4 linked regions of the Drosophila melanogaster genome follow. The protein of the gene in region 1 interacts with the protein of each later gene in a pairwise test. Each region holds a gene or a part of one and is shown in the gene's direction. Other genes may lie near its edges. The genes, in order: koi, by, RnrS and CG18259.

Region 1 (9,309 bases):
CGGCTGCAGATCTGTGCCGGCCGTCTTAAGGGACTCTCGCTGTACGGTTTAAGTTTATAACAATTTATACAGAAAGCGGTGTCTGGAGAGAACTCACCCAGTTGCTCCTTTCATCCTCATAACGCCGCGTCTGCGATTCTTCGTTTACGGAGGCAGGAGCCATGTCCAACCAGTAGCGATTGGCCACGGAGACTTTGAGCGTGGGAAAGAATGGAATCATTGACATTTTCGACGGAATCTTGAATGCGCTGTTTTCAATATTTGTTGTTCTTTCTCTGGAAGCCTTTGATGCGATCTGGCAACGCCGCAACATACGCTGTAAATAATACCAATTTTACAGGGGCGTAGTCGTAGGGGCGCATTAAACGCAAATTACAATATTAATTGTAATTGTAATTCATCAATCTAACTATGTATTTTGTTATTGTCAAGGGAAGTCCGATAACCAAGGGCTTAATACAGCTTACTCAAAAATATATATCTTCACTATTACAAATTGACCTTAAGAATCAGAACATAACCAAAACGAATAATATATATTATTCAAAATCTTTTTATTTATTAAAGAAGCTATAAAAATTGGACAAACTAGACACAGGAACGGTATTCCCTTGCAGTTTTATTGGTAGTAAAGTTCCAGATTCATGCCATCGTGAATTTCATCTAAGAAAGCGAAAAAGAAATGCGGGTAAAGCAAGGCGTTACAAGGACACTAAACAAGGGCTTACAGTCAGATAGGCGAATCGGGTCCTTGAAGATTGTGTACCACTTCTTCAGGACAATCTTCTCGTGCTTTGTGCCCGTTTGTGCCGCGATTAGTTTCTTGAGGTCCCCAATCGTGTCGTCCGGGTTGCACTTGACGCGCACCTGTGGGTTAATCGTTGGTTAACGATGCTTGCAGTTGCCTTGGGTACTTAGCTGCTTACCTTCTTGCCAAGACGATCGTTACACGTTATTTCTATCATATTTTATGGCTTTGCTAGACAAATCACAACAATAAATTCTTGATTTGTTGTGGTATTATTGCTTAGGGTTGTCAAATACCCTTTACCGAATACCGAGTGGTTTGAGGGATCGCTAATTGTCCGCAATGCTATCGATATTTTATTTAATTTTAAATATGTTTAAATAACAATCATATAGAAAGTCGAAGTTAAAGATATCAGAAGTCTGAAAGTATACTTAGAAAGCTCAATTGCTTGTCATGACGCAAATCTATCACATCCTTGTAAAACGATAATATTTGTTAACAAATTTATATTTAAATTTCAGTCTTCTTCTTAGTTATCAAGCCAGAAGTCGAATGTTTCGGCGTTAATAGAAAAATAATGTATGTTTGCATATTTGCACACCTCATTCAAATTATTTTTCTTTGTTGAACAAAAGATAAAAGTGTAAAAATTAAATTTTTTATTCTTGACCCATTATTTCTCTTGGTTAATGAAAACAAATTCCGTTTCTCAACGTTCCCTTTAATAATCCATGTGAACAATCGATAGGCGGCGAAACATCGATGATTGCTAGAATAATCGATGTGTCTTCCCCGTTCATTCGAATTTTTTCGCCGCTCGGAATAGACGTGATTTTGCCGTCGTGACGGTGGAGGCTATTTTTAAAACGGTCGCGGCGCTTGCAAACAAAATTCATATCCAGCTATTCAACGGAGGAATTCATTAGTACGGCAGTACAAGAAATATTACTAAGTATGTCACATATTTGCGGGCAAACTGCCGAAAGCACTGTGCGGAGTTTTTGTTTGTGTGCGTGCGTGCCTCATTTTTACATTCACGTACATACATATGTACATATATGTACGCTATGACGCAGCTGTGGAAAACTTGTTTGGGTTTCCATTTCACCGAATCACGGAATCAACGAATATTTGCGCCTGTGCTGCGAACTCATTTTGGGCAGTAAGCCATTGTATTGATTATCGCGCGTTGTTTGTGGATGGCGTGGTCCGCCGGAGCACCCTGTAGCGTCTACATCCCTACCCCGCTCCCTGGAGTCCGATATCTGTGCGCGAAAGGCCGGGCGGGCGTCGTTTTCGGCTATGTGGCCCAACACCAATGGATCCCCACGGTCACTGGCAGCAATTCGCGATCCGAAATGCTCCGCCCTATTTTTAGACGCGGTCTTTGCGGCCTGCCTACTTACCTACCTCCCCAATGCATTCTAATTAAAAACCGGGCACTGCGCTCATTTCCACACGCATTGCATTGCATAATGCGGCATTAATGTGGCGGGGAAAGCTCGCTTCGGAAAGCACTCGAGCATTGAAGTGAAGAGACCGAATGTTTTCCAGCTGCCCAATTGTAAACAACCCACGCCTAGCACGCACACACACGCACACGCACACACACACAGACTGGTTTTAATGTTTACTCCAAATAAATCGTTGCCCATGTTAATTATTTGTGTCTTCGCAGGGCCCGAGCACTGGAGGGAATCTAATCATGAGCGAAAATACATACCAGATAGAAACGCGTCGGCGGTCGCGTTCCAAGACCCCCTTCCTGAGATCGAGCTGCGACCATGAGAACTGTGAGCACGCCGGAGAGGAGGGGCATGTGCACCACCTCAAAAGGAAATCGGCGGCCCCCAATGTGCAGTAAGTATCTGGGATACTCCCGAAATAGGCCTACGGACGAAGCCCTTTATCGCGAACCCATAACATTATTTTTAGCCCTTATAAGTAGTAAAATTGTAAGCATACAATATGTTTACGGAGTTCGAGTCAATTTCATTTTGAGAATTAGGAGAATTCAGTTTAAACTCTATAATTATTTCCTATTTGGTCCTGAGTCACCTTTTTCTATACTGACCATTGGTTTCAGTAAGCAAGTTGGACTGTAGTAAGACACATCCATAGCGACTGTATGTTTGTATGCCGTGTGCTGCCGCCATGACGTCACCTTTTTGTTATTCACGCTCGCCGCGAATTTGAATTTCGAAGCGGGTAGAAAACGAAGGCAAAGCCGCATACAGGGTGCAGCATCTGGTCGAGCTTCGTTAGTTTTTGGCGCCTATTTCGAGAGCGCCTGGTCGGTCTGATGATCAGTCTTCAAGACTCGATGACGACATTCGGAGTCCAACGTCGGCCGTCAGAAATCGTTTTCACGTTTTAGCCTCTAAATCGAGCATGCTGGGGTGGGCTAACAGTCGTTTGCGCTGAAGGCCAGCGGCGGTTATAAGCATATTTTTGTGTTTTTGTTTTGATACGTTGTACTCGTCGTTTCAAACGATTCCGAGCACGTTATCACGGACTTACTGAAATATTTTTCCCAAATCTTACCTCTTCTCTGCAGAACGATAATAGAGGAGCATATAGTGGAGTCGAGTATCAGTAAGAAAACCCGGGCAAAAGCGTTCGCCCAGCTGACCTCGGACTATTCGAGCGACGACATGACTCCGGATGCCAAACGCAAACAGAACTCGATCACGGCCACAGTCACGTCGATTCTCACCAAGCGATCCGGCGGCGCCACATCGACACCGCGGAACAGAAGCCAGCTGGAGACCACACAAAACACGCTGAATTCCGCCCAGGAAAAGCTAAACCAATCGAACGGTAACCTCAGCTCGGGAAATGTCAGCGATTATCTGGCCTACATCGAGTACAGGGATGCTGGTGAATACTGGAAGTGAGTGAATCATTTCTACACATTTTAAACAGTATACTAATGATGCTATTTTGCAGCAAAACTCCCAAGACGGACTATACCTACTCAGAACTGTCCCCTCACCGACGCCAGTTGGCGCCAGGAATTGTGGCCATGCCCAATATGTCCAGAAAGAGCCTAGAGAACCATAACGATCGAGTCAACTACATGGTCCAGCAGAACCCTGCGCAAGAGGAGTTCATCCGCCGCCGCTACCAGTCCAAGTATACCCAGCAGGTTAACTATGACTCCGCAGATGAACTGGACGCCACATTTGGGCAGCAAAAGCAGAGCTGGTGGCTTATCCGCCTCATCCAACTGGTTGTTAGCAGCATTACCACCGTGTGGAGTCGGGTGACCAATCTCTCGGCCACGGAGACGACTGCCTATCAAAACTACCACGCTAAGCGCCAGCAGAGTCAACAAGTTGGACTTTGGTGGAAAATAGTACAGACCATCGGAGGAGGACTTGCAAGTTTGCTGCGCTACCTGTATGTTTTCATCGGATCGGTGCTGAGTTTGGACACGTGGTTGCTGCGATCCTCGGATGCGGAAAACAAGTCGAAAAAGCGCTTCCTCATATTTCTGCTGATTTTGTTGCCCTTGCTGCTGCTGTCGGGTGAGTAGGATTTAAAGCACCGTCCGATTTTTGATGTAAAGTAAAATATGTTAGAGCGTGTGCCGTGACCTTGTACCGGTTCGAGAATTCATACTACATGCATATAGATCACCTCCAGTCGTTGTATTTATAAACTCGTCTGGTCGTTGGCAGTCGCGTGACGCCATCGATAATTTGTTAGTAAAATCCCGCGGATCAGATTTAAGTGGCCATGTGATGACATATTTTATTTTCCATTCACCGTCTGCCAAGGTTAAACGCCTAATTTGCTTTGCCTTTGCAGGTCTGTTCTATTACATACACCCCAATGAAACTTTCCCACCCAAATCCCTGTCCGAATACACATTCACCCTACCTGAGTTGCCCAAAATCGATGTGAAAGACTACCTGAACCAGGAGCAGTTCGAATCGCTACGCTCTCAGGCCGCCGAGCATGCGGTCCGCGTTCGCGATTGGGCCGACGACTACGTTTTGTACTTGAGAACCATCGGTCAGAACGTGGTCAACAAGGGTCGTCAGTTATTTCAGGGCGATGATAAAGTCTATTATGAGCGTGTGTAGGGAACATCTGCAATGGGCAGGCTACAGCTACCAGATTTAGTGATCTGGTTGGGTGCAACGCCCCTTGCACTTAGACAAATATGAGAAACTTTCTTTATGAACAATATGAGTACAAAATAAAGCATTTGATCCGTTTTTTGTCCGTCTGCTTGACCCGCAGTTTTGCGCACTTACTTTATAGTTTTTCGTCCCGTCATTTACCCACTTCATAGGCAAACCCACCTCTCATACCCCACCATACTAACCGACACAATTCCCAACAAAATGCAACATCACAGGCTGATGGGAGAAGGATAGAGCTCGCCGCTGTTCAAATTGTAAAACTTTCGTAATCGTTAACTTCATTCTTGTCCAACAATTAGGGCCGTTATCCGTCTGGGTTAGTGCCCTAACTAAATCTTACTTGTTGTTAAACAACGTTTAATTGTAATTTGTGCACTGTTTGCTTTGTAATAGTCTATACAAAAATAAATCGCAAACAATTTCATATGAAACATCAAGTACAAAGAAGAGTTGTTTGTTTTATTTGCCATTTGTTGGAAGTTCGCTAAATGGTAAGTAAGATGTAAACAAAGCAATATTAGTTGGCCAGAATCGAACTCTATCCTTCTGCATTTGTGTTGGAATAACCCCAAAAACGAGTTCCCTGTTACCTCAGTCCGGTTGATAATTGAAGTTGGTAGGGACTGTAAATGTAGAAGGATTGCCAACTAATAGTGCTATGTTTAATTTTCTCCTTCCCCAGGATGGTTGCTCTTGCAGGAGGATCAACGTAGTGCTTACGTTCAGCGTGCGGAAGCACTGTTGCCGCTGCCACTATCTATTTTCGGCTCCCTACGTAGTCGATTTTCAAATGCTGGAGCCACCTTGAAAAGTTGGATGGAAGTGCCCACCGTCAGGAGTCCCCAGCGGGAAGCCGAGGCCATTAAGGTAAACATGGCCAGCATTGAACAGAACATCCAGAAAGCCTTGACTGCCGAGGAATACGAAAATATCTTAAACCATGTAAACAGCTACGTGCAGCAGTTGGTCGAGCTGAAAATGCAGCAGCATTCCAAGGAGCTCGCACCGCAACAGATTGAACTCTTTGTTAAGCTGATGAAGGAAAACCTCAAGCAGATTATGTACAAAACGGAGCTAAGCGAAAAGGATTTGTCTGATCTGGCCATAAAACTGAAACTGGAGCTGCAAAGCTCAGGCGGTTGGCAAGATGGAGCGAAACTATCACAAGCTAACTTAGAGGAGATAACCAAGCTAATTAAAGCAGAGGTTCACCTCCACGAATCGCACTACACCATTCAATTGGACAGGATAGACTTTGCATCCCTGCTGGAGCGTATTCTTGCTGCGCCAGCATTGGCAGACTTTGTAGATGCTCGAATAAGTCTTCGGGTGGGAGAGCTCGAGCCAAAGGAGAGTTCCGGTTCCTCAGATGCAGAAGTCCAAATTGAGCGTCTGAACAGGGAAATCGCCTTCATTAAGTTGGCTCTCTCTGACAAGCAAGCGGAGAACGCCGATCTGCACCAATCAATCAGCAATCTGAAGCTCGGCCAAGAGGATTTGCTGGAACGCATACAGCAGCACGAACTTTCCCAGGATAGGCGCTTCCACGGGTTGCTGGCTGAAATAGAAAACAAACTGTCTGCGCTTAACGACTCGCAGTTTGCTCTTCTCAACAAGCAGATCAAGCTATCCCTTGTCGAAATTCTGGGCTTTAAGCAATCCACCGCTGGCGGTTCCGCTGGCCAATTGGATGACTTCGATCTGCAGACCTGGGTACGCAGCATGTTTGTGGCCAAGGACTACCTGGAGCAGCAGCTGCTAGAGCTGAACAAGCGCACCAATAACAACATTCGCGACGAGATTGAGCGTTCGAGCATCCTGCTGATGAGCGACATTAGCCAACGACTCAAACGGGAGATTCTTCTGGTTGTGGAGGCCAAGCATAACGAGAGCACCAAAGCGTTGAAGGGCCATATCCGCGAAGAGGAGGTGCGCCAGATAGTCAAGACGGTGCTAGCTATTTACGATGCCGACAAGACGGGCCTGGTGGACTTCGCCCTGGAGTCGGCGGGCGGCCAAATCCTTTCCACGCGTTGCACTGAGAGCTACCAGACAAAGTCAGCCCAGATATCGGTGTTTGGAATTCCACTCTGGTATCCCACCAACACGCCGCGGGTCGCCATTTCACCCAATGTGCAGCCAGGGGAATGCTGGGCATTCCAAGGGTTTCCCGGATTTCTAGGCAAGTCGCGGGTAAATAGTAATTGCTAAAACAGTCCTTATAGTTTTCTTCCCACAGTGCTAAAGCTCAACTCGTTGGTGTACGTCACTGGATTCACCCTAGAGCACATACCGAAGAGTCTATCCCCCACAGGAAGAATAGAATCAGCTCCTCGCAACTTCACTGTCTGGGTAAGTTTGACTAAGGGTGAAAGGAAGTGGTGCATTTCTAATACGACTTATCCATCAACTCAGGGCTTGGAGCAGGAGAAGGACCAGGAACCCGTATTGTTCGGCGATTACCAGTTTGAGGACAATGGTGCTTCCCTCCAGTACTTTGCCGTTCAAAACCTGGACATCAAACGGCCGTACGAGATCGTCGAACTGCGGATCGAGACGAACCATGGCCATCCCACCTATACATGCCTCTACCGGTTTCGCGTGCACGGCAAGCCGCCGGCCACATAAATCTGTTCAAATCTCTTCTAGTGACCTAAGTACTGCCAGGTGTACATAATGTCTGTGCCTTAAAAAGGAAACTAAACAATATATCACTGCGAGATGTGGATCAACGGAGCCCAGCCGCTTTCAACAATGCGAACTATGTAAAAAGTAAGGCTATATAGATTGTAAGTGTTTTGTATCATATCGTAGATTTGAAGTGTTTAAATCACATTAAGGTTAACTTGTACATAGCATATTATTTAAGTCAGGACTAGAGTCCCTATAAGTACTATAATATTTATTAGTATTTAGTTATTTCCCTGAAATCAATCATCGTTCCTTTAAGTCTACTCTACTTACGTATGCAAGTTTCCAACCCGTAAACGTAGCACTATACCCCAGTTTATAAACAAATTTCAAATTCCAATCTCGGCGTCAAAAAAATGATCTTGTCCTGAATCAGACTGATCTTCTAACTTTATCCTAATCCAATCTTCCTCGGCCAGAAGCTTTTCTTTAGAAACTTCTTTAACGTTCAATTATGTTTAGAATCAAAGCTTTATGCTGATTGAGACGAGAAGTTGATCATGGCCTGGTCTCCAAGCGGAAGCTGTGTTTACTTTAAGTTTTGTTATCTATCTTATCGGGTACCTAAGTGCTGGCAAAGGCAATGACAAAAACAAAGACAAAGGAAATGCCGCCGAGATTGAAATGTGAAATTTGTTTATAAACTGGGGTAGGGTGCTATGTTTTCGGGTTGGATAACTTGCATATCTTTTACCATGTTTGCCATGTTTAAAAGCGTTTTGAAGGTAATAGTCATAGTTTGTCTAAGCCACACACTTGCTGGAAATGTATAGTTTAAGCTATATCTAAGCTAAAATGTTTTACCATGAAAACTTGCAAATTCCTTATAAATGCGATAGCGATTTGAATTCACACCTCTAAAATAGTGACAAATAAAATTGAAACTCACTGAATAACTCGATCGAATAAAAGCTGCCTGCATCCCTCCCAATGAAACAATCTATTTCAAGTTTTCCTTACTTGTCGTATACGTAATATGTCTAAAGAGTGAACCCAAAAATAGTTGATAATTAAAAATATAGTTTTCTCTTGTTTCTATAAGTTTACTTAATTGGCTAAGTTTGTATCTACTTCCTGCGTTCATTAAGGTTTTTCACCATTTTTAACAATAAACACATTGCTGTGAAAAAACGTTTTCTTAATCAAAAGGCAGGCGAAAAAATGGCTGTCAAAGCCATGGGAAGTAATTAACCTTTGCTATCCGGCTTCTGTAATTAGTTATTTCTGGACGCCAGCGAAGGATTGGGAAAAAAGGATGCTCAGTTCAAAATCATTTGCTTGTATCCTTTGCTATCTACAATACATTTAGATAGTGTGTAGAAAATGTCCATTTAAATCGGATTTAATTGCATAATGACGCATTTTACTCTTGACTGCAGTTGCTTATAATTTGCTAACGATTTCCATGTTATTGTTAAGCCGATTTGGTATAAATGATGATGCAGGACTTGTGCTCCAACCTGATGAATATATTAAGTGCATTTCTGTTTCAGGCAGACTCGTCTTCGGTAATTTAATATGAAAATACCTTTGCAACTGTTGACTCCGCACGGATGTGTCATTTCGTCTGGGGTTAATGCAAATTGTCTTTTAATTTGTTGTGCCAGCAAATTCCTGGCGCTGGCAAGTCAAAGGATTTCATCTTCAAGCGTCAGCGAAGGTATGCACTTAATTAAAGCCAGCTGACTGTCTCAAACAGAGCTGATGTGATGG
Region 2 (8,750 bases), on another chromosome or scaffold:
GTACGCATTCGATCCAAAAGTTCGTTTCCGAGCCTTGGAAAGGATCCCCTTGAGATGCATATGACAGTCCAATCTCCAAACTTGATTAAGCGTTGGAAACTTTCGAGTGGGAAGCGAAACGACCACTTGATGCGGACATTCGCATCAATTGAATCGAATGCGTATGTTGCACACCCGAAAACCACACTCAAACTATCAGTAATAGTCCATGCGATAGCTTTCCATCGTTTTGGCCAAAATTAGATGGCCAGATGGGCCCGCAATCCCCGGTTGTCACAGCATATGGCTCTGATTGACATTACCGAAATTCCACATGACTTTGTTTCAACAGATTTGCGGCAGAAAGAGTTAACAACAACAGATGTTCGCAGCGAAAAGCTGCAAGACAAAAAGCGAAAAAAAAAATACGAAAAAGGTAAACGAGTTGCCAACTAGGGACGCAACTAAGGCCAACGAAAGAGAGCGGCGACAGGTCACCGGAGAGCGAAAGAGAGGCGGTGGGGTCTGCCCCACGCGAGTGAGCAAGCGAGAGAGCAACTTGTTTATTTGCCACCCACAACTGGCTGCTGAAAGAACAACAACAACAACAGCCATGGCAAGGAGCAGATGAAGAAGAAGATCACCTCTGCTGGCATTGACAGAGGATTTGTGCAGTTATTTCTCATACTTTATTTTTTTAAGCGCATATTTTCGCTGAATTTGATTTGTTTTCTTTATGCCATGTTGCTGTTGCTCCACTGACGTCACTTAACTGTTGGGGTTTCAATTATAATGCCTTAGCCATTGTTGTTATATTCGTTGTTGTTGTTTCGTTTGCCCACCACGACACTTTCTACAAGAAAATGTTGAGAAATCAAAAAAAGATGCGACAGCTTCTTCTCTATGGGTTCCACTGAAAGAAAAATGTAAATGGTGGAAAACATACTTCAGTTTCCACAGTAAGAGTAATAACTAATTAGGGTTTTCTAGAATAATCATCAAAATACATAAGTCTGAAAGACATTTAAATTGTTTACTGTAGTCTCTTATTAAATTTACCAATATTTTTTTCAAGTGTACGTTTGTGGCCTCTCGCTTGATGGTGTATGTGTAATAGCCACAAAAGTTCATTGGGAAAGTGCAACCTGAACCTGCTGGAACACAAGACCGCAATTGATTGATAAAGAAAACCCCATTTAAGTGGCATAAACAAAGTTCGTTTGTTTCACTCAGCGGAAAGCAAATGAAGCTCATTTAAAGAAAAATAGGCAATTTAATTGATGAAAACGCCAAGAATTCAATGGAAGAACGTGCCCGAAGTTACAGTGGGTGCCATCGGCGAATTACCATTTCAAAAAGCCCCCCAATTGAGGTTTCTTGTTACGTGAGAGAGACGGAGAGAGGTGTCCAAGAGGGAGCGATCTTCCACAGCTGTTATCAATTGCACTCCAATAGGATCGCTTCACACGTTGGTCTCCAATTGGGACTGCAATGTGCGGGTTCTTTGATCAAAATTCGCGTCCAACGTGCACGGATCGAACTTTACGGGGCTCCTAATCTGTATAGGCTTCGATTGCTTGTTTTGATTAGTTCGTGCGTTTGGCTGGGGCTCTCCTTCGTGTGTATTCGTCAATAAGTGGGGATGACATCACCGACGCTCCACTCTCTTCGACTCGCGTTCTCCACATCGCATCTCTCTCCCTGTCTCCGCTATGTGCACTCTCTCATGGAACGATCTCTCTTGGCATCCAACACCTTTTGGCGTGTACTTGTGAGCATTGGAGGCACAGTGGGCGTGGGATTATTAAATAAATACCCGATGACAGTTCTATTTATAAAGCTGTTCTTTCACTTTCGCAATATCTCTGGATTTGGTTGATACAGTTTTTGGTGTCACCAAAAATCGAAATTTACAAGTAACCAATATTGCAATTTTGTGAAATATATTGATAATGTAGTTTTAATACTTGTTATAAATGATTACAATTACTGTAAAGTTTTTTTCTATCGTACGATCGAACAAGGTCAAATGTTGCTCATACGCACTTTTGCCACAAATCTGTCAAAAATATTACCCATACGCCAGGTTGGTCGCACTATTAAAAGTTCATAATTAGAAATGTTTACCTAAAAGATGGGTTGACGAGGGCCTAGCCCACTGTGCCCACTCATGGCGAACCAGAAACTGACTTGAGGAGGTTGACTTGCTGCTTGACTTGCCACGCGAGAGAGAGGTAGAGAGAGAGAGCGGAACGCCAACGCCGACTCTACGGTTTGAGTTGTATCTTCTCGACCTTTTTTTTTGAATCAGTCTTTTGGAATTCGCGAAACAATGCGGACGCCGTACGAAGAAAGCGCTGCTGCCGCCGACCACAAATATCAATACCAATACACCGCGGCCAATAATAACAATAATTACTATAAAAACTATAATGTGAATGGCAATGGGCAGGCGAATGGAAATGGGAATCTAAGTGGAATTGGTAATGGAAATGGAATTGGAAACGGCAATGGATATGGAATACCTTATCACGCGCGCGAGAACTCGCTGCCATTTAGCTATGGCATAGCCAAAACTTCGACACCGTTGCGAAAAACTCCGACACCGACGCGAGTGGATAGTTTTCTAGACTTTGATTTCGGGCCAACGAATACGAATGTGAATTCGAATAGTTCTAGCAATAATGGCGGTACTGGCGATATGATAAAGCCACCAACACGTCTAACGAGCCCTTTGCTGGTGCGCAAAACGCTGGGCAATGCCGTTAGTCCCACCAGTTCGACCAATACCAACACCATAGCCAATACATACCACTACACGTCGAGCAGCGCAACGCCGACGCCGGTGAGAGATAATTTCGAGCAGCTGCTGCGGGAGCGACGCGAAAAGGTCTACAATGAATATAGGAATCTGGATAGGGAGTCGTCCGGGGAGCGGGCCAGAGTGGCACCCGCTCCGCCGCAGAGGCAATACTACCCGAGCGATGGCTATGGAATTGGGCTGAAGAACGATAGCAATGGAACCCTATACCGCAAGAGCCCCTCGTCTAATGGGAAATCAACGAAATACAACTACGATTTTGAGTTCAATCTGAATCTGGATGATGTTAGGCCCGAACCTACACCGTATACCACGAGGAATATTCACTTCGAGGATCTGCGGCTGGATCAGGATGTGCCAGATGGCGTGGTCAATCGGCGGACCATGGAACGCAATTATCACACAATTAACAGCTTGGAAACGACCCACAAACGCCAGCAGTTGGAGCCGTTGGAGCAACTGGGCGCCGTTTATGGCCAGAACCACATGGAGGAGACACTCACGCGCACTCGTCGCGATCTCTCCGCATCCACATCGACATCCAAGTCCACCTCGCCATTGCCGGCAATAGGAGTACCAGCTATAGCACCAGCTTCGCCCATTTATGCCACCAGTACGAAGAGAGTGAGCAACCCAAATACCAATGGCCAACAGCAGATGACGCCTAGTCCCACCAGTAGGCCAGAAACGCCCGCCTTTCCGGTCACGCCGCGCACGCCTTTTGGGGCATCATCATCATCATCTGCGTCTCTGGCGCCGACGACCCAGTTGCCCCCAGAGTCGATCTACCAAACAGGGCCACGTCGTGGCGTACCGCCTGCACTGCAGCCACTCGAGGTGTCCGCCGATTCCGTACAATTTGCCCGTAGTTCGTCCCAGTTCTGGTACAAACCAAATCTCACTCGCGAAGATGCCATCGCTCTGCTGGCCTCTGCCCAGCCGGGCACGTTCCTGGTCAGGGACTCCACCACGTACAAGGATTCCTATGGCCTGGTGGTGCGGGTGTCCCAACCGCCTCCCGGTTCACAGGAGCTGGTGCGTCACTTCCTCATCGAGCCCACGAAGGGGGGAGTGCATCTGAAGGGCTGCGATGACGAGCCGGTGTTCACTTCACTGTCCGCCCTCGTCTTCGAGCATTCCATAAGCCAGCTGGCGTTGCCATGTCTCCTCCGTCTGCCCGATCGGGATATAGTACCACCGGTGCGGGCCACAACCCCTGCCCAGCAGCATCTATTGGCCCACGGAGCAGCCACCAATGTGCTGTGGCTCTACTCCTGCGACACGGAATCGCTGACAGGAAACGAGGCCATCCGCAAGGCCATCCGCCAGATGTACGGTCAGCAACCCTTGCCGCAGCCCACGGAGGTGCACTTCAAGGTCTCCTCGCAGGGCATCACGCTCACGGACAATACGCGCAAGAAGTTCTTCCGGAAGCACTACAAGGCGGATGTTATCTCGCACTGTGCCATCGATCCGGAGAACAGGATGTGGACCAGTGAGGGCGAGTCTGACAAGAAGACCATCTTCGCCTTCGTGGCCAGGAGGTCGCACAGCTCCACGGACAACCAGTGCCATGTGTTCTGCGACCTGTCCGTCAGCCAGCCGGCGGCGGCGATTGTCTCGTTCGCCAATCGGACACTGCCCACCGAAAAGCTGCGCAACTACGTCCTGTAGGAGGGAGGGGGCGTGGCACGGGTCAACAGGTCAGCAGGCTGGATTCCACTTCCATCCGTGGAGTGGAATGGCGCACAAGCAGGTGAGACGCATGACGGGTGCAGTTTTGTTATGGGTCGTAAATTAGAGTACATTTTGGGTGCGGTTCGGCCTTGGGAGGCGAAATTGACAATTACAGTAGTCCTTCGAGAGGGTGAGCTTAGTCGCGAAATTTAAAACAAACAAATATTCTTTAGACTCCAAATTTCAAATTCTATATTCATTTTTCTAAAGGTCAAACAAAATTGGTCGTAAAAACGTTTTAAAAAGTACTTTCTAGAAACGATTTCTTTCCGGCATTTGTTTGTTTTAAGCATCGTATTTGTATTTGTCTGAAACAAATTGTTTCTCCGTGGTTTGGTTGAGACATTCTTATTTTTAGAGACTTTCCCTTGTTGTTTGTTTTAAAATAGATATTAGTTGTGCTTGCGGAACAATAATTTTGGCTATATCTCACTGCCCTTTTTCAAATTTTTGTGGGCCTCAAGCAATGTCCAGAGAAACTTTCAATATTTGCCTTGCCAAGCTGTCACTGTATCATCATCGTTCTGCGCTACAAATGGGAAACCTATTAAAAACGCTTCACTTTCTGGGGCCCTTCCGTTCGCCTGGGTTCGTCTTCAAATTGTTTACTTTACATAACGCCCTGGCTGTTTGTTTGTTTGTTTAGCGGTTTCCATATACTGCCGTAGCACACATATAGATATATATAGCTATATGTACATACATACATACGAATCCAAGAGCGCCATGTAGAAGCATTTGGCTAACATATCTTCTGGCTACACGTTTTTCGCAACGGAAGTTTCTGTCATGAGTCAGTTGCCTATAAATGATTGAGTTTCGAATTTAGAATCGAACAGAATCAAAGACATCCAACACATGCACATCCATTGCAGGGTCGCCACGTTCTGGAGGAGTGGCACCAGCCCAATTTTGGTATTTCTTTCGATTTGATTAATTCCCCCTGCTTCGTTCACGGTCATGTGCTGAGGTCGCCAGATAAGGCCATAGCGCTTAACTGTGCATTGCCATGCTATGGAGGCAACTTTTCATTAGTTGGCATTTGTGTATATATTCGCTATCAGGCCGCCAGGTGATCCACTATGCTATAATAATAGCGTCGAACAGTTGGCTGCAAATTGTGGGGCCTAAAATAAGATCTGCCCACAGAAGATATAGAGTTTATAGTTATTGCTGTTCTGCCCTGTTCAGCTTGGTTCTGTTGTTTATTTAGCTCTAAAGATACATCGTTTTTTGAATCACTTGATAAGAGCGAGAGACTCGTTGTTGATCTTGCTGGGAATTATTCTCCAACGATCGTTCGATTCCACCTTGAATTTTTTCGGAATTTTTTCACTTGAGCCTTAAAGCGGAATATGCAAATAAACAGACGGCAATAGAAATCGGTTTTCGGTCTCAATATAGCGCAAAAGTTGAAATAAATTCAGGCGAACCGAACCGGCGGGCGTCAATTGCGCATTTTAGAAAAACCGCATGCCGAACACTCAAAACATAATTCCAGGCACGTTTGCGTTTATTTTTTTCAATTATTCCACTACCGACGACGAGGTTCAGTAAAAAGTTACTGTAAATAAAACGGGAGGTTTAAAAATGGTCTAAAAGAGATTTAATATTTAAAAGAGCACTCCAACTTTTCATCAGACCCCCATTGTTTGCTCGATCAAATGATCTATTTGATCCGCAATTAAGCAATTATCCACGAGCGTGTACAATATAGATACAACCATATGTAGATACGATTGGTGGGGATTGGAATTTACGAACTTGTTTAAATCGGATTTCTTCTTTCATCTCTTGCAGGCCAGTGGAATCGGAATCATGCGGAATTATGCGGAGGAGGAGCCCAGTGCTGCAAGATGTACTAACTAATCACTTTACGAAATTGTGTCTTGCGATATAATGAGCTTAACTGCGAATATGTTAACAGGAATGATGTCAGCCGTAGTTTATTTAGACACGCACACACTCAGAAGTCGGCGATATTTATGGCGAAGCTAAAACATATGTACACATGGGTACTATCAACTTGAATTGACTAAATGCACAGTGGGACAAGTGGATGGCCGAGTTCGATAAGATTGGTAACTATTGGAAACGCCACTGATTCATATTTGTTTATATGCCCAAGTTGTAAACAAAGCCATGAAGATTGTGTTAAAATTTTTGGAAATTCCAACTGGCATTTCAAGGAATCTCGTACCACTGTGCTGGGTGGCGAATTGAAACTGATCACCGAAAGTTGACTGTTTATTAGCAAAAACAGTATGGATGTGTATATATGGGCGAGTTGTGTGTTTTTATATAGGGTGCGCTTGTCAGACAAACGGAATTAAACTAATCTACCACATAATTTTAAACCGATTAATGTTAGTTTAGAAAGTTGTTAAATAAAACCCAAAAGTACAAGCCAGAGAGCTTGTTCCCTAATTTATACCAGTAATATCTATATAAATATATGTATGTATATGCTTAAGCACTACTAATGCAGTCAATATAAATAAAGTGCAATGTTGTTAAACAGATTAGAAACCTTTTATTAATCTAACTCCTTAAACTGACTTGCGAAAAGCTCAGCGCCCAGCATCTGTTAATAATTTGTTATCTAACTAAAAATACAGCAGCGACTGCGTTCTAGATTTCAGGGCTGTTAATTTTATATATCAACAGACATCAGTGTTGTTGGGTCGGTTGGGTTGCTTTTGTTAAACAATTAATGGGTTCTGTACCCGCGGGCAATGGCAATATACAATATGCATTTGTATGAACACAATTGTTTAGTAATTTAATCTTATCGTTCGCCAGCGTCGGCGATCTCTATACGCTCAGCTAACCATAGGAAGTGTAAAGTATTTTTTGTACTCCTCCTGTCAGTCACCCTTGCATCCATTGGATTCGCATATTGCCGGAGATTCCAACAGATTCAAGATATAGGTAGTCTCCTGCCTCCTAATGGACGAGTGCAATTTGTGTTTTTTTTGTATTTTAAAAGGCAGCCCACCAGTCAAGTGTGCCAAGTGAAATGAAAACGCGTCCGTCGACTCGACCTTGAGATCAATTTGTGGCGGCGGCATGACGTCATCGCCTTTCGATGGTAGCACAACGACAGCTGCCCCACGATTTTAAAAACATTTCTTACAGAAATTTACAAATTAAATTTTAGGCTAATGCTCCCCAGCGAGATCTGTGCACCCACATTTTAATGATTTTGATTTCAGCATTTCATTTCATTTAATTTCTTGTTCTATTTTCAACGGCCTGCTAATTTCCTATATGTACATATGTATGTATTTATGTGTTCGCCTTGCCAGGCGCCCCAAAGAGACCGAAACCAGTTTGTCATGTTCTTTGCCTAAATTCGATAATTAATTGATCGCCGGAGAAACGAGAGTCGCTGAAAACGACGACAAACTCCGGTTGCATGAGCACCGCCCCGAGGTGTCGCCTTATCCAGACCAGATGATGCCCGGTGACGAAAGCAATATCCATCGAGATTCCAAGAGCCAAGACGCAGTGCAGGTTTTGTATCTTACATTTAATACATTTGGATTTGGTTGTGTGTACAAAAGTGAACATAAAATTAACGTTCGGTGTGTTGTTTTTAGATATCTACATAGCTACATACAATATCGTTCGTTTACATCATATTCAGTTAAACATAATAAATACACTTTAATAATATATACTCGCATACGTATATATATAACAAATAATACATCCAGATTTTGCAGGCCCGCATTTCGGACCTCCCGCAGGCAGATTCAACATTTCGCGTGAAAAACAGAATTTTGTGTGTACAAAAATACATAATAGGTCCCACTTTCGATTTCGTTTGGATCTAAACTGTTGGAATGCGAATTGATAGAATTTCCAGTTTCCTCAATCTTGTCGTGCTTCGATCTGTGGAAATCTTAAAGTTTGTCAATTTCATTCCGCATTGTGATGTCCATTTCGAAATCAAGAAAGGGGGGTATAATAAAAAGCTCAGAGAAAACTATGTAGGCTCCTCTATTCGTGTGCCTAATTCAATATGGTTTGGGTGTATATGTGGTTGTCTCATATTTAAGATTAGTTACAAAAATTTCTCTAGTTTTTCACGAGCCTATTGCCATATTGCCATTTTTCGTTCCCATTTGCCGTCTATTGAGTGGGGAGTAACTAATTTGACTTCGCCGAGTACGGACTGGTGGACCCGACCGACGGAGGCGTGGGTGTG
Region 3 (6,123 bases), 5.2 Mb from region 1:
CGCCATGTGGCGGGTGCCCGCTCTGAAATCCACAATGATTACCTACTTCACATCCAATCCAGCGGCGAGTAAGTGCTAAAATCCAATATGAAACCGAAAAAGTGATATCACAACGCCCAGATCTTGCGAAATTACGTACTTCTAGGCAGTATGCCAAAATGGATTTGATTGCCTTTTTAATCACAAAAAATAGAAGTATAAAGTTATCTTGGTTATGCATTTTTTGGCCATTATCGCAATGTATCAGATAAGATGCATTCAATTATTAAAATCGCCTAAAAAAATAATTAAATACATTACACGTGAAAAGTATTAGACGAATAGTAGTCGACCGGAAATCCATGTTATTTATGGTTATATAAGAAAGTGGTCGAATTTCTTCTAGTTATGTCAGCTTGTTATTTTCCATCTTTTTTATGTAAACTTTTGGTTTTACCTGAATAACAAATGTTCAAATGTTAAGTTCAAAAAGTTTTGGACTTATAAACTATTTTTTACTTTGTAGTATTTTATGATATTTGTTTTTTACAACCCCCCTAACTAATTGTGTTTGATACCCTTCTCGCAGAAGTCGTCTGCTGGCCCATGTTCCTGTCCACATTCAGCCATTACTCGGCTATGCACCTTTTCGCCAATATGTACGTGATGCACAGCTTTGCCAACGCTGCGGCTGTATCGTTGGGTAAAGAGCAATTCTTAGCGGTCTACCTCAGCGCCGGCGTCTTCTCCAGTCTGATGAGCGTGCTCTACAAGGCGGCCACGAGTCAGGCGGGGATGTCCCTGGGTGCGGTAAGACAGCCTTTATTCCACGTAGTATCTATAAACTTAAAGCTCTTCCCTTAGTCTGGAGCTATAATGACACTGCTGGCCTATGTATGCACCCAGTATCCGGACACACAACTTAGCATTCTCTTTCTACCCGCGTTGACATTCTCCGCTGGAGCTGGTATTAAAGTGCTAATGGGCATCGACTTTGCTGGCGTCGTGATGGGCTGGAAGTTCTTCGATCACGCAGCGCATTTGGGCGGCGCCATGTTTGGCATGTAAGTTTGGCGTGTATGTTTATACCATCACAGGTTGTCTTATTAATCCTACGGTAATTTACAGCTTTTGGGCCACGTATGGGGCACAGATATGGGCAAAGCGCATTGGTCTACTGAATTACTACCATGACCTGCGCCGGACGAAGCAGAAATAGTACAGGAGGCTTGGGGATTCGCCAAGTGAACGGACGGGGAGCTGAGGCAATAGAGCGGTAGCGAGTAGCACTACGCTGTGTCAATAAGAGTGACATCGTTCTGCCTTAGAAGTTCATTGAAATCAGTTAAGTTGAATAAATCGTTGACATCCTGTACTCATGTGGTTTCCCGGCTCTTTTTTGGAACTTGTGTTTGATCCTTCTGATTTCTTCGAATACGAAAAGCTACTTCGTGCCTGCGCTGCTGAATCTTCTCCCTAAGTTCCTCAAGGGATTCTCGTTCTGGAGCGTATGATATGTGCAAGATTCCACCATAGAACTGATGAGCATCGAGCATTTTCTTGGCTCTTCTCGCCACCTCAAGGCGCTCGAACTTCACGGCAAACACATCTGTAAAAGCTTCCAGATCCACTGAAACAAAAGGAACACTATATAAAAAAGATCTTGAACAGGGATAATCATACTTTTTGAAGCCATCTCTGAAGTTACCGAAATACATGATTGCACTTTACCAAATCCTTGTAGTTTCGTCCTGAGATTAGCTTGAAGATTTATTTTAGGTACCCCAAAGATCAGCAAATGACGGGACTCACTAGCAACTGTATAAACCTACAAAGGATAAAAAACACAATAAAAGTACAATAAAACATTGCTATTACTATAAAGCTATTACTAAACTATTACTACTAAACATTACTATTTCCCCACCTTGACAGCTTTCAATTCGCGGCCCTGACGGTATTTCAATCTTGTAGTGCAGTATTCCAGACGTTTGTGGTGTTCAGAAGAAGAGGCTTCCATATTCAGGATATTAAAAACAAAACTACAACTAAACGGATTTGTTTATTATTATTTTCAAGTCCACGATTAAACGTACTTATCGATAAATATCAACAGCCAGCTGTTATGTTATTGTACTGTTATTTACATGATTCGCTGTAATGGAATTCATTCAAAGTTGTTGAATTGAGTATGTTAGCACCTGTTGCATTTCCAAATAATTCGAGATTTCCAAAAAAAAAATTAATTTTAAGTCAATGTCCTTGGAAAAAAATTTTAACTTTGTTTCACCTTGATTTTTTATCTAATTGTAGCAAGAGGACCAAATTTTTTCACTCAAAACTAATTAAGTGGCGTTTCATCAGCTGTTTTCTGGATTAGTCTAGGGTTGTCTCATTGCATGAAATATCGATGATAAAAAAATTTCAAAATTTATTTAGTATTTGAAACTATTAATATTAATATTTTTCAAGTGACAAGCTGGGAAGCTAAACATAAAATTGTGCAGTAAGGATTCGATTTATGGTTTAAGAAAAGAAAACTACCACCCCATAATTGCATTAGATTTACCCTAAATTTATAAAAAGTGAATTGACGCACTCGACAGCCCTGATTTTCCCATAGTTTTCCCATCACCAAAAATGGCGGCAAATCGAAACAGTTTGCCGCCCGGCATAAAACCCAATGTAGCTGTATTTCCCAGATCATTTGCCACACAACTTTCAAACTGTACACTTAATACACGTCGTGGTTTAAGTGAATTTTACCAGAGAATCAGAGAAGCGCCCCTACCTGCTAATAATAATCCATTCAAAAACATCTCAAATGGCGTCCAAGGAAAACATTGCTGACAACATGGAGAAGTTCTCGCTTAAGGTAATCGACACGCAAATAAAGTTCACAGCTATACATAGACGTAATACCGCGATCAGTGCGCTTGTGTTGATTTCCCTAGGGAAAAGTGCTACGCAGCGGAAAAATACTCATGCTTTAGTTGGCCTTCTTTGTTTTTCGTTGTTAACAGAGCCCGAGCAAGAAGATTCTGACGGATAGCACCAACAACGTTCGCAAGATGTCCATTGGACACGAGGCAAACGGACAGTTGGCCAAGGAGTCCTCCACCGTGAATGGCATCGGCAAGTCTGCCAATTCCCTCATGGAGAAGTCCGTAACCCCCTTCGACCCGTCGCTGGAGCCCCTTCTGCGCGAGAATCCCCGACGCTTCGTCATCTTTCCCATCCAGTACCACGACATCTGGCAGATGTACAAGAAGGTGTGTATACCATACATATAGCAAAACACTGTCCATTTGCATTGGTGGTGAAAATCTATTTTTTGGGCGGCAAAATATCAAAAGGGCGGGCATTTCGAGATAAAGCGCGCCAAAAGCCGGTCACGTACTCAACGTGGTTGATTACACGAATCAGACTTTATGATAGCTTCGTTTGGTTAAACAACCCCCTCCCACATTTCTCGACCCTCCCTTTCCGCTGATTCACTGCATCACGGTTTACTCAATGTCAACAATAGCCTTCGTTTTTGGCGGGAAATGCAGCACATAACGATCACATACTATACCATTTTATGTAGCCAATTACATTTCCCCGCCGCTTTTAATTGCTTTGTAGTAACTTTGTTTACATTTTAATTGCATTTTAATTGATAAGCTCGTTGTGCACGATGACATTTCTTGAAAACTTGTTAAAGTGGAAAATGAAAAATAATAAATTTATACAGTAATTATCTCTTTTAAAATTGTAACTTTTTTTTTTAATGTGCAGGCTGAGGCTTCTTTCTGGACTGTCGAGGAGGTGGATTTGTCCAAGGACCTTACTGATTGGCACCGCCTGAAGGACGACGAGCGCCATTTCATCTCGCACGTGCTTGCCTTCTTCGCCGCCTCCGACGGCATCGTAAACGAGAACCTGGTGGAGCGCTTCAGTCAGGAGGTGCAGATCACGGAGGCACGTTGCTTCTACGGCTTTCAGATCGCCATGGAGAACGTGCACTCGGAGATGTACAGTGTTTTGATCGACACTTACATCCGTGATCCACACCAGCGAGAGTACCTGTTTAACGCTATCGAAACGATGCCGGCTGTGAAGCGCAAGGCAGACTGGGCCCTGTCCTGGATCTCCTCCAAATCGGCCAACTTCGGGGAACGCATCATCGCCTTTGCCGCCGTGGAGGGCATCTTCTTCAGCGGCAGCTTCGCTTCCATTTTCTGGCTTAAGAAGCGAGGTCTGATGCCTGGATTGACCTTCTCCAACGAGCTTATCTCTCGCGACGAGGGCTTGCACTGCGACTTTGCCGTGCTGATGTTCCAACACCTGGTGCAGCGACCCAAGCGCGAGCGCATCATCGAGATCATCCGCGACGCGGTGGCCATTGAGCAGGAGTTCCTTACCGATGCCCTGCCCGTCAATTTGATTGGCATGAATTGCGACCTGATGTCCCAGTACATTGAGTTCGTAGCGGACCGTTTGCTCGTGGAGTTGGGCGTTGGAAAGATCTACAACACCAAAAACCCCTTTAACTTCATGGAGATGATATCGCTGGATGGAAAGACCAACTTTTTTGAGAAGAAGGTGGGGGAGTACCAGCGCATGGGAGTGGTCAGCAACCCCCTGGACAACGTGTTCACCCTGGACGCGGATTTCTAGGGCTGGCCCCGGACATCATTGTTGCAATTTAAACCTCTCAAGGGCTGGCTTCTCATCCTTTATATTTTAATCTGACGGCAATTATATGTAGTCCGTTTTAATTTTAACATAGGCTAAGAACAATCACAGACCTTCAACACATTCACCTAATCATTTACTTGGACCTCCAATTACGTTTATAATACTATCTACACACTTGACTTTTACGAGGAGCGTACCTTTTCCGAATTCATTGTACATACAACATTTTAAATAAATTTATACATAGACAATTATTAAGCACTACAAGTAAAATTGAGTTTTAATTATTCTGAAAAAAATCTTCAAAAATTACTGTTTATGCACGATTATATAATAAGAAAATCAATTTCAAAAAAATTTATAAAAAGGATTGGGAAAATTTAAGAATTTAAATAATTCGAATTTCAAATTTTCGATTTCAGTTATATATATGGTAGGTAAACTTATCGATAGTCACGGGCATTTTTACTATCAGCTGTGCTGAACAATCCCATTCGCTGTTTTTATCAATTTGGATAAAATTCTTGTTATTCAGTTATTACCATAAAAAGTATTAGATGTCAATAACAGGAGTGGGCGATTAAATCAACCCAATTCAGCTAGGCGCCCTAATAGTTGATAAAATGCGAACAGTGCATTAAATTGTAGGCGGAGGACCAGTGGCGATAAGTGAATCCAGTCACATGGACAGAAGGTGGAATCCAGAAAAAATCGAGGAGCAGAGCTCCCTCTTGGCAGCGGAATATTCCTCCAGCTCGGGAGCAGCTGCTTCCGGATCCGAGGACGAGACGGTCACCACTAGTGGAGCGCTACGCAGCAAAGCAAAGCTGAGGAAGCGGCAGCTAAGAAATCGCATGCCGCTTCCCAGGATGTTAAGACGCCTTGGCTGCTACACGCTGAGCGCCTTCCTAATCTGTGGGCTGCTCCTCGTCTACCTGCCGCTCGTCTACTTGGATGTACACAAGCGTAGTGGTAGGACAATGGTTTTCTTGATACCCGCATTTATTTTAAAAATGATCCATTGACGCTTTCACAGCTGGTCTGCCGGATTGGACGTCAGAGACCTCCCGCAGCATAGCTGACTACCTGGATATCGGGCTCAGTTCTGGCGTCATTGTTCCCAAGGACTTTTGCCGGAATAAGACCTTCCTGGTAATCGCCGTATGCACCGGCGTGGACAACTTCATTCAGCGACATACCATCCGTGAGACCTGGGGCAATACCACCGAGTTCAACTACCCAGCGTTTGGAAAGCTCCATGGTCATCTCAAGGGTCACTACCTGCCGCCACTGCCGGATCGCTTAAAGATGTACGGGGATTATTTGAGCGGCGAGGGGCAGTCTCTGACTGCCTCAGTGCGCATTGTTTTCATTGTAGGCCGCCAGAAAGATGAGGCCATGTTGGGCAATGAGACCCTGAATCGCATTCACATTGAATCGGAAAAGTACAACGACATCATT
Region 4 (6,423 bases), on another chromosome or scaffold:
GTGTGCTGGTCAATCCGCACTCCTCCCGTCGCTCGGTGCACAAGGCCAGGTGAGTGATATGCTTTAAAGATATCACGCAGTATTGTTCAACGTTCTCGGCCGTAGCTCTCGCACCGTGACCACAAACTCGTCTGGCGTGGAGGTGGACATCGATGCACTTCACTCGGTACTCTTCAGGGCCCGCTAGGAAGTGCGAGGCAGAGCCCGGGAACTACAGCAACTAGATAATTTTTTCTATTTAGTTCAACAACGTAATCCATTTTCATTTCGCGCTTATAAAATTCGAGTCGATCCATCCAGCGTATGTTTAGCAAACTAGACTAGTTTAAGTGAATTCTGCCATGTCTGTCCACTTTAGAATTTTGTGTTTAGTGAGTAAAATTTTTGTCTTATTATCATAGAAATTCAGCAGTCCCACTATAGACACAACAAAATGTATGGTATAGAAACTGATTTTACAATTGCTTGTATAATATTTCATAAAATGTACAGTTTTTAAATTTCATAAAATTAATTCATAATAATTAAAGAGAAAGGAGCAGTTTGGTAAGCAGTATATATAAAGTAACTTGGAGGTTCAGTGCTTCACGGAAGAGCTCAATGTCCAGCTCGGCCTCCACTCCCGCCTGAAGTTCCACGGCAAAATTCTGCAAAAGATTAGTGATGAGAGGATCTATTTCTGCCTCTGGGCTCTGGCATCTCTAGCTATTGGCTACTCACGTTGAGGACATCCTTGATCAGCGCCTTGTCCGTGGACATCTTGGCCCGCTGGATAACGCCCACCTCCTGCCCGATCCACGTCAGGAAGATGAACTTTTTGTGCTTGGACATCTCGTCACCCATCTGGTTGCGTATGTAGCCAGCTGGATCCCCTAATCGGTCTTCGGACCTGACCACGGCTCTCCAGAACAACGACCTGAAGTGCATACTCACCAGGATGAATGGCAAGATAAACTTGCTGCTATCCGCATTTGAGACTTAACCGACATAACCGTCACAAGAGAGACCAAGAGCCTAGTTTCTGAACATTCAGCCCTTAACAAGATGATAGAGTTGTACGAAGGGGTCACTAGCGAGCACCGCTTGACGAGCATTGCTACCCAGACTAAAGTACAAAAGCCTACCAAAAACGCTTCTCACAATGCGCAGGTGTCCAAGGGACAAGTGCCCAAAGTTCTGGCGCTCAAACCGCACGACTGGTAGAGGAGAAGGGAAGGCGACATCCAGATCAAACGAGTCCAATACAGGCAGCTACGCATCTGTCGCCAAGAATGCTAGCACGAGTGCATATTGGACCAAGGTGAAGCCTATGCGCCCGCGTAAAAAGCCTGAGGCACGGATCGTGAAGAAGACGGGTGAGGCTTGGTACGCAGAGATGCTCCGGAAACTAAGATCGGACCCGAGCCTTAGCGAACTGGGCAGAAGAATTCGGAGAACTCAGCTAGATGAGCTGTTGCTCGAAGTAGTGGGAAAAGCCTCGGGAAGCTTTCCCAAGTATAAAAGCGATCTAGAGGCGACGGTCAATGATTTGGCATCTGTGCGGCAGCTCAAAGAATAGCACTATCCTGCAGTGGACTGGACGAGGATACGATAGTAGAGGAGCATCAACAGGCCCTTGGGAGTAGAGCTGCACTGTTTTGCAGACGATGCGGCAATTACAGCAGTCGCCAAAACAATTGCAGAGTTGCAGGACAAATGTAACACCACGATTGGAGCTGCCGTCCACTGGAAAGCCGGGCTAGCAATAGCGGCTCGCAAGACCGAAGCAGTAAGTACTAAGCAGCAGGAAAAAGGTGGAGAATATGCTAGTCCTCTGTCAATGCGACACAGGTGACCTCCCAAGAGTCCCTCAAGTACCTGGGTGCTATGATAGAACCACGCGAGTTACGGCAGCAAGAATGCATCAGTCACAGTTTCTTCATTGGCTAGACTGGTGCCCAACATCGGTGGTCCAAGCTATCTGGCCAGGAAACTGGCTTCGCTGCTGTACGCTGCACCAATCTGTAGCAATGCTACAAGCAGGGGTTCATACCTGAAAGGAGCCATGGCCCTCAGGCTCATTAGAGGATTCAGGACAATATGTGAAGACGCGGCACTAACTCTGGCAGGCCGCCAATTGATCGGAGATCAAGGCTCTCGGCCTAAAGCGGGGTGGCGCTTACCGACGAGTGGCTGTTGGGTGAGTGGCAGAACAGGTGGTCTTACCAGCTCATTCCTGAGTCGGCGGTTTGGGCAGAGTGCCAACACAAATGCTTGGACTACCACCTAACCCAGTTTCACACGGACCATGGCTGCATTCGGGCCTATCTACGTCGATTGTTCTGCGTCATTTGTGAGAAAACAGAAGAGCATGTGCTAATGCACTGCTCCAGGTTTGCGATGGAGAGGGAGCAGCTAAAGACGAAGTCAGGTGCTCCGTTCAGCCCTAGTGGCTTGTTCGCAGCTATATTGGCAAAGAGCGAGGCATGGGAGCTGGGACACAGTCTAATCATTAAAATGATTAAACGTGTCCGATCAGACGAGATGGCCAACAGAGAAGGTGGCTAAACCCGAACAGGTGTCCTGTGTGGTGGCGAGTGAAGAATACTACCTGAGCGTTCCCGGCTTGTCGTAAAAAGCGACTAAAGGGTGAAAAGAGGCGCACTCATGGCCTACACTGAAGGAAGAGAGTGTGAAGCCAAATTCTGTTCATCGAAGTCATACAATGGCAGTCCCGGTGAGCGTTCAAGGACTGAAGAGCACACGGAGGTTTTTGTTTTAGTATGTGGTGTTGTTTTTGTTGTTGCGCAGGTATCAGTGTTACCAGACCAGACGTCGGCTAGCACCTAAGCGCGATTGTTCTCGGTTGTGCGAAGGGGCACACTGTGAATTAGTGACTCGTAATGTCAGTGGATAAAACGTATTATGTAGCTTAATATATCATTGACAGTTCTGAGAATTTTCAATCTTCTACAAACTAATGTTAAGACATGCAAAAATTGTTTTTGTAAATGAACAAGTAGTTTAATAGTATTAATCGTATATTTGTATAAGTGTTAGTATATTGCTGTTTCTTTTTTACATTTTATATCCAGAATAACATAGATGTTTTTAAGCGATAGTTGCTATCGATAGTGCTGGACGATAGTTTGCCACCCCAAGTGTCACCAGTGAAACGCCAGTCCTATTTTTTTTTTACGAACGTAGTTCGAATAGTCAGGATAATTTGAATCTGGTTGTTTTTACTTCACACATAGCTTAGGAAAAGGTGTGAAAAGCGTATACTGTGAGCCATGGACATCGATTTGAGTCTGGACGAGATTATAGAGCGGAAGCGCGGGCAACGCGGCTATCGTCCCCTCGACAGAAAGTTGTAAGTACATTTACAGGACAGCCGAAAAAATAGAATGTCACTCAATGCGTTTTCCATTGCAGCAATGCGAACTTCTCCAAGCCGCGCCAGCTGCTGAACAAGCCTTTTTTCAAGCCATCGGGTGCCCGAGGATCTCACTCTGATACGCCGGCAAAGCGCACCTTCGATGCCAGAAACACGATCGCCGCGAAGACACGGGCCAAGATAGCCGATGCCCGGGATCTGATCAACAAGAGCGTGCGCGACTCGGGCATCGATGCCCGCCAGCTGTTGCTGGAGCGAAAGAAGGCCCGTTCGGCGGGCCCAATACTTATTGATGACGAAGAAGAGTCGTTTGAGCCATCACATCGCGCACGCGGAAAGGGAGTGCACATCGGTCAGTTTGGTCACCGCCTTAGCATGTCAAACCATGCGGACGGCACCATTCAGGCGAAATGGGACTCGGACGACGGGGTCGTTGAACTGGGTAACCACATGTTGTCCGGCTTGCGTCGAACCTTTGACCCCAGATCCCATAAGCCGGGCAAACCCTTTGCTCCACGACGCTATATTGATCTTGATAATATGCAGGACCTCGAGGATGGTTAGTTAGTGCCTTTCTCTGCCAAGCCGTTCCTAAAAAGCACTCTTCTACTTTCAGAGGAAATATCTCGCACACTGCACTTAGGGCAAATGAAGCAAGCGTCGCCACGCTACTCAATTGGTGGGCTCGACCTGAACCGCGGCGACGACGTGGAGATGTCCATGGCCCCACTAAATAACAAAATAGATAACAATGCATTCTCCATTTACGAGGCGGCCCGCAATCGCATTGAGCGTCCTTCGCTGACCAACCGACTCGTAGTTGGACGCTCAAATACCACCAAGGAGCCTCTCGAGCGCCGCCACCGCGACACAGCAAGCACAAGTAAACTCCCAGAATCGCTGCGGTCTCGTCTGTTTGTCGGTAAGAGGGATCCTCACATTTCTCATGGCATCTACGCCAACGAGAACCGGAGAAAGGCTGTTGGTGGCGGTGGTGCTAGGGATAGCGATAGCGGTACTGATAGTGATGGTGATGCAGCTGCTCCATCGAAGAACAAGCGCCGTTCGCCATCCCCATTGTCGCTGCGTACGTCGAACACAAAGGATGGATACCGCCTGCTGGTGAGCAATCTGCATACTAACGTGACTACTGCGGATATTCGCGAGCTTTTTAGCGACATCGGCCCAGTGTACGACGCTCGTGTGGTGCGTCCCGGCACCGCCGAAGTTATTTACAAGTCACTGGAACATGCCGAGAAGGCCGTAGATACCTATCACCATCGTCAGTTCGATGACCAGCCCATGCACTGTGTGCTGGTTAATCCGCACTCCTCCCGTCGCTCGGTGCACAAAGCCAGGTGAGTGATATGCTTTAAAGATACCAAGCAGTATTGTTCAACGTTCTCGGCCGTAGCTCTCGCACCGTGACCACAAACTCGTCTGGCGTGGAGGTGGACATCGATGCACTTCACTCGGTACTCTTCAGGGTCCGCTAGGAAGCGAGAGGCAGAGCCCGGGAACTAAAGCAACTAGATAATTTTTCTCATCATTTTCATCATCTCCGTAGTATTTAGTTCAACAACGTAGTCCATTTTCATTTCGCGCTTATTAAATTCGAATCGATCCATCCAGCGTATGTTCAGAAAACCAGACTAGTTTAAACGAGAACATTTCTTTACTATAGAAACTTGAATTTTCTAATGCAAATTCTGGCATATCTGTCCACTTCAGTATTCAGTATTAGGTGGCTAAAATTTTTGTCTTATCATCAAAGTAATTCATCAGTCCCACTATATACACAATTAAATGTATGGCATTGATAATGATTTTGCATCCGCTCTTGAAATTTGGTATTGAAAACTTTTCTTTTACCTTTTTTGAATGACACTATGGATTATGATTATACGATAAATAAGAGGACCCAGTAATGTTACAATTGCTTGTATAATATTTCATAAAATGTACAGTTTTTAAATTTCATAAAATTAATTCATAATAATTAAAGAGAAAGGAGCAGTTTGGTAAGCAGTTAAGAGTTGCAAAAAAAAATGTATATGTAAAGTAACTTGGAGGCCGCTTAGTTATCCCGGATGCCCGTTCCGTAGTTGGCGCCGCCGGCACGGTTCAGTGCTTCACGGAAGAGCTCAATGTCCAGCTCGGCCTCCACTCCCGCCTGAAGTTCCACGGCAAAATTCTGCAAGAGATTAGAGATGAGAGGATCTATTTCTGCCTCTGGGCTCTGGCATCTCTAGCTATTGGCTACTCACGTTGAGGACATCCTTGATCAGCGCCTTGTCCGTGGACATCTTGGCCCTCTGGATGACGCCCACCTCCTGCCCGATCCACGTCAGGAAGATGAACTTTTTGCGCTTGGACATCTCGTCACCCATCTGGATGCGTATGTAGCCAAAGGCGCGCTCCGAGTCGCCGAACTGCTGTCGGAATTCCTCAAAGCACTGACCGCGCGCATGTACAATAATCTGGGCGCCATCGAACTTGAATACCGCCCACTCGGTGTCTGTCAGATCGGAGCGTACATCCTCGTAGGCCTCGCGAATCGAGTCCTTCTCCAGCGACGTGGCCAGCGGCATCTGCGAAAGAGCAAGGGGGAAGAGGATTATAAGCAAGCGAAGAGGGGAACTATAAGCAACTTTCAGACGGAAGTATATATCTTAATCATGTATTCCAAGTCCGAATCGTTTCGCCAAGGCGAATGGATCATCCGCTTTGGCCCATCGATAGCGAAATGTATTGTATGTACTCAATGCGGGGCCAAGTACTCTTGACGGCGCCATCTATGAGTCAGATTTAAGCGGTGCTTTCGCTTTCGATGGTTATATTACATTCAATTCGACTTGTTTCCGTGTCAGGCAACCTCAAGTCGGCCAGGGGAATAGGCACGCCATTGCATCGCCCACTTGCATTACGTTCGGGCAGATTCACGGAAAGCAATTTGTTGCCGCTTTAGTGCTTTATAAACATAATACCAGCGGGCCAGCGGAAAAGTAGCCAATGTAAATATGTACATATTTCGAAGAAAAAATAAA

Evidence for each region.
Region 2: the proteins of koi (region 1) and by interact in a two-hybrid assay, tested with the Drosophila melanogaster proteins (one large-scale study listed by BioGRID).
Region 3: the proteins of koi (region 1) and RnrS interact in a two-hybrid assay, tested with the Drosophila melanogaster proteins (one large-scale study listed by BioGRID).
Region 4: the proteins of koi (region 1) and CG18259 interact in a two-hybrid assay, tested with the Drosophila melanogaster proteins (one large-scale study listed by BioGRID).

Annotation. Positions count from the first base shown.
Region 1 is NT_033778.4:6,809,473-6,818,781, forward strand, and holds koi (klaroid), read left to right. Parts: upstream 1-1,546; 5' UTR 1,547-1,703; intron 1,704-2,315; exon of another isoform or gene 2,316-2,429; 5' UTR 2,430-2,456; coding exon 2,457-2,611; intron 2,612-3,059; exon of another isoform or gene 3,060-3,222; intron 3,223-3,308; coding exon 3,309-3,644; intron 3,645-3,700; coding exon 3,701-4,281; intron 4,282-4,564; coding exon of another isoform or gene 4,565-4,842; exon of another isoform or gene 4,843-5,340; intron 5,341-5,587; coding exon 5,588-7,087; intron 7,088-7,144; coding exon 7,145-7,257; intron 7,258-7,320; coding exon 7,321-7,533; 3' UTR 7,534-8,727; downstream 8,728-9,309. Other genes in the region: CG15237 (uncharacterized protein), read right to left, coding at 1-39, 98-226; ubl (ubiquitin like), read right to left, coding at 620-663, 729-867, 927-965. UniProt on the Drosophila melanogaster protein: Component of the LINC (LInker of Nucleoskeleton and Cytoskeleton) complex involved in the connection between the nuclear lamina and the cytoskeleton. Is required to nuclear migration in eye and to anchor klar in the nuclear membrane.
Region 2 is NT_033777.3:9,526,546-9,535,295, reverse strand, and holds by (blistery), read left to right. Parts: upstream 1-2,284; 5' UTR 2,285-2,311; coding exon 2,312-4,474; 3' UTR 4,475-4,556; exon of another isoform or gene 4,557-6,337; 3' UTR 6,338-7,058; downstream 7,059-8,750. Other genes in the region: CG8176 (uncharacterized protein), read right to left, coding at 8,693-8,750.
Region 3 is NT_033778.4:11,981,947-11,988,069, reverse strand, and holds RnrS (ribonucleoside diphosphate reductase small subunit), read left to right. Parts: upstream 1-2,676; 5' UTR 2,677-2,803; coding exon 2,804-2,854; intron 2,855-3,002; coding exon 3,003-3,251; intron 3,252-3,759; coding exon 3,760-4,641; 3' UTR 4,642-4,925; downstream 4,926-6,123. Other genes in the region: rho-7 (rhomboid-7), read left to right, coding at 1-68, 569-789, 844-1,043, 1,108-1,198; CG34231 (uncharacterized protein), read right to left, coding at 1,356-1,609, 1,663-1,807, 1,907-1,999; GalT1 (beta1,3-galactosyltransferase 1), read left to right, coding at 5,346-5,634, 5,699-6,123. UniProt on the Drosophila melanogaster protein: Provides the precursors necessary for DNA synthesis. Catalyzes the biosynthesis of deoxyribonucleotides from the corresponding ribonucleotides.
Region 4 is NC_004354.4:18,780,225-18,786,647, reverse strand, and holds CG18259 (uncharacterized protein), read left to right. Parts: upstream 1-3,153; 5' UTR 3,154-3,272; coding exon 3,273-3,352; intron 3,353-3,414; coding exon 3,415-3,935; intron 3,936-3,992; coding exon 3,993-4,734; intron 4,735-4,790; coding exon 4,791-4,872; 3' UTR 4,873-5,383; downstream 5,384-6,423. Other genes in the region: CG6961 (uncharacterized protein), read left to right, coding at 1-49, 106-187; CG6891 (uncharacterized protein), read right to left, coding at 5,454-5,570, 5,644-5,967.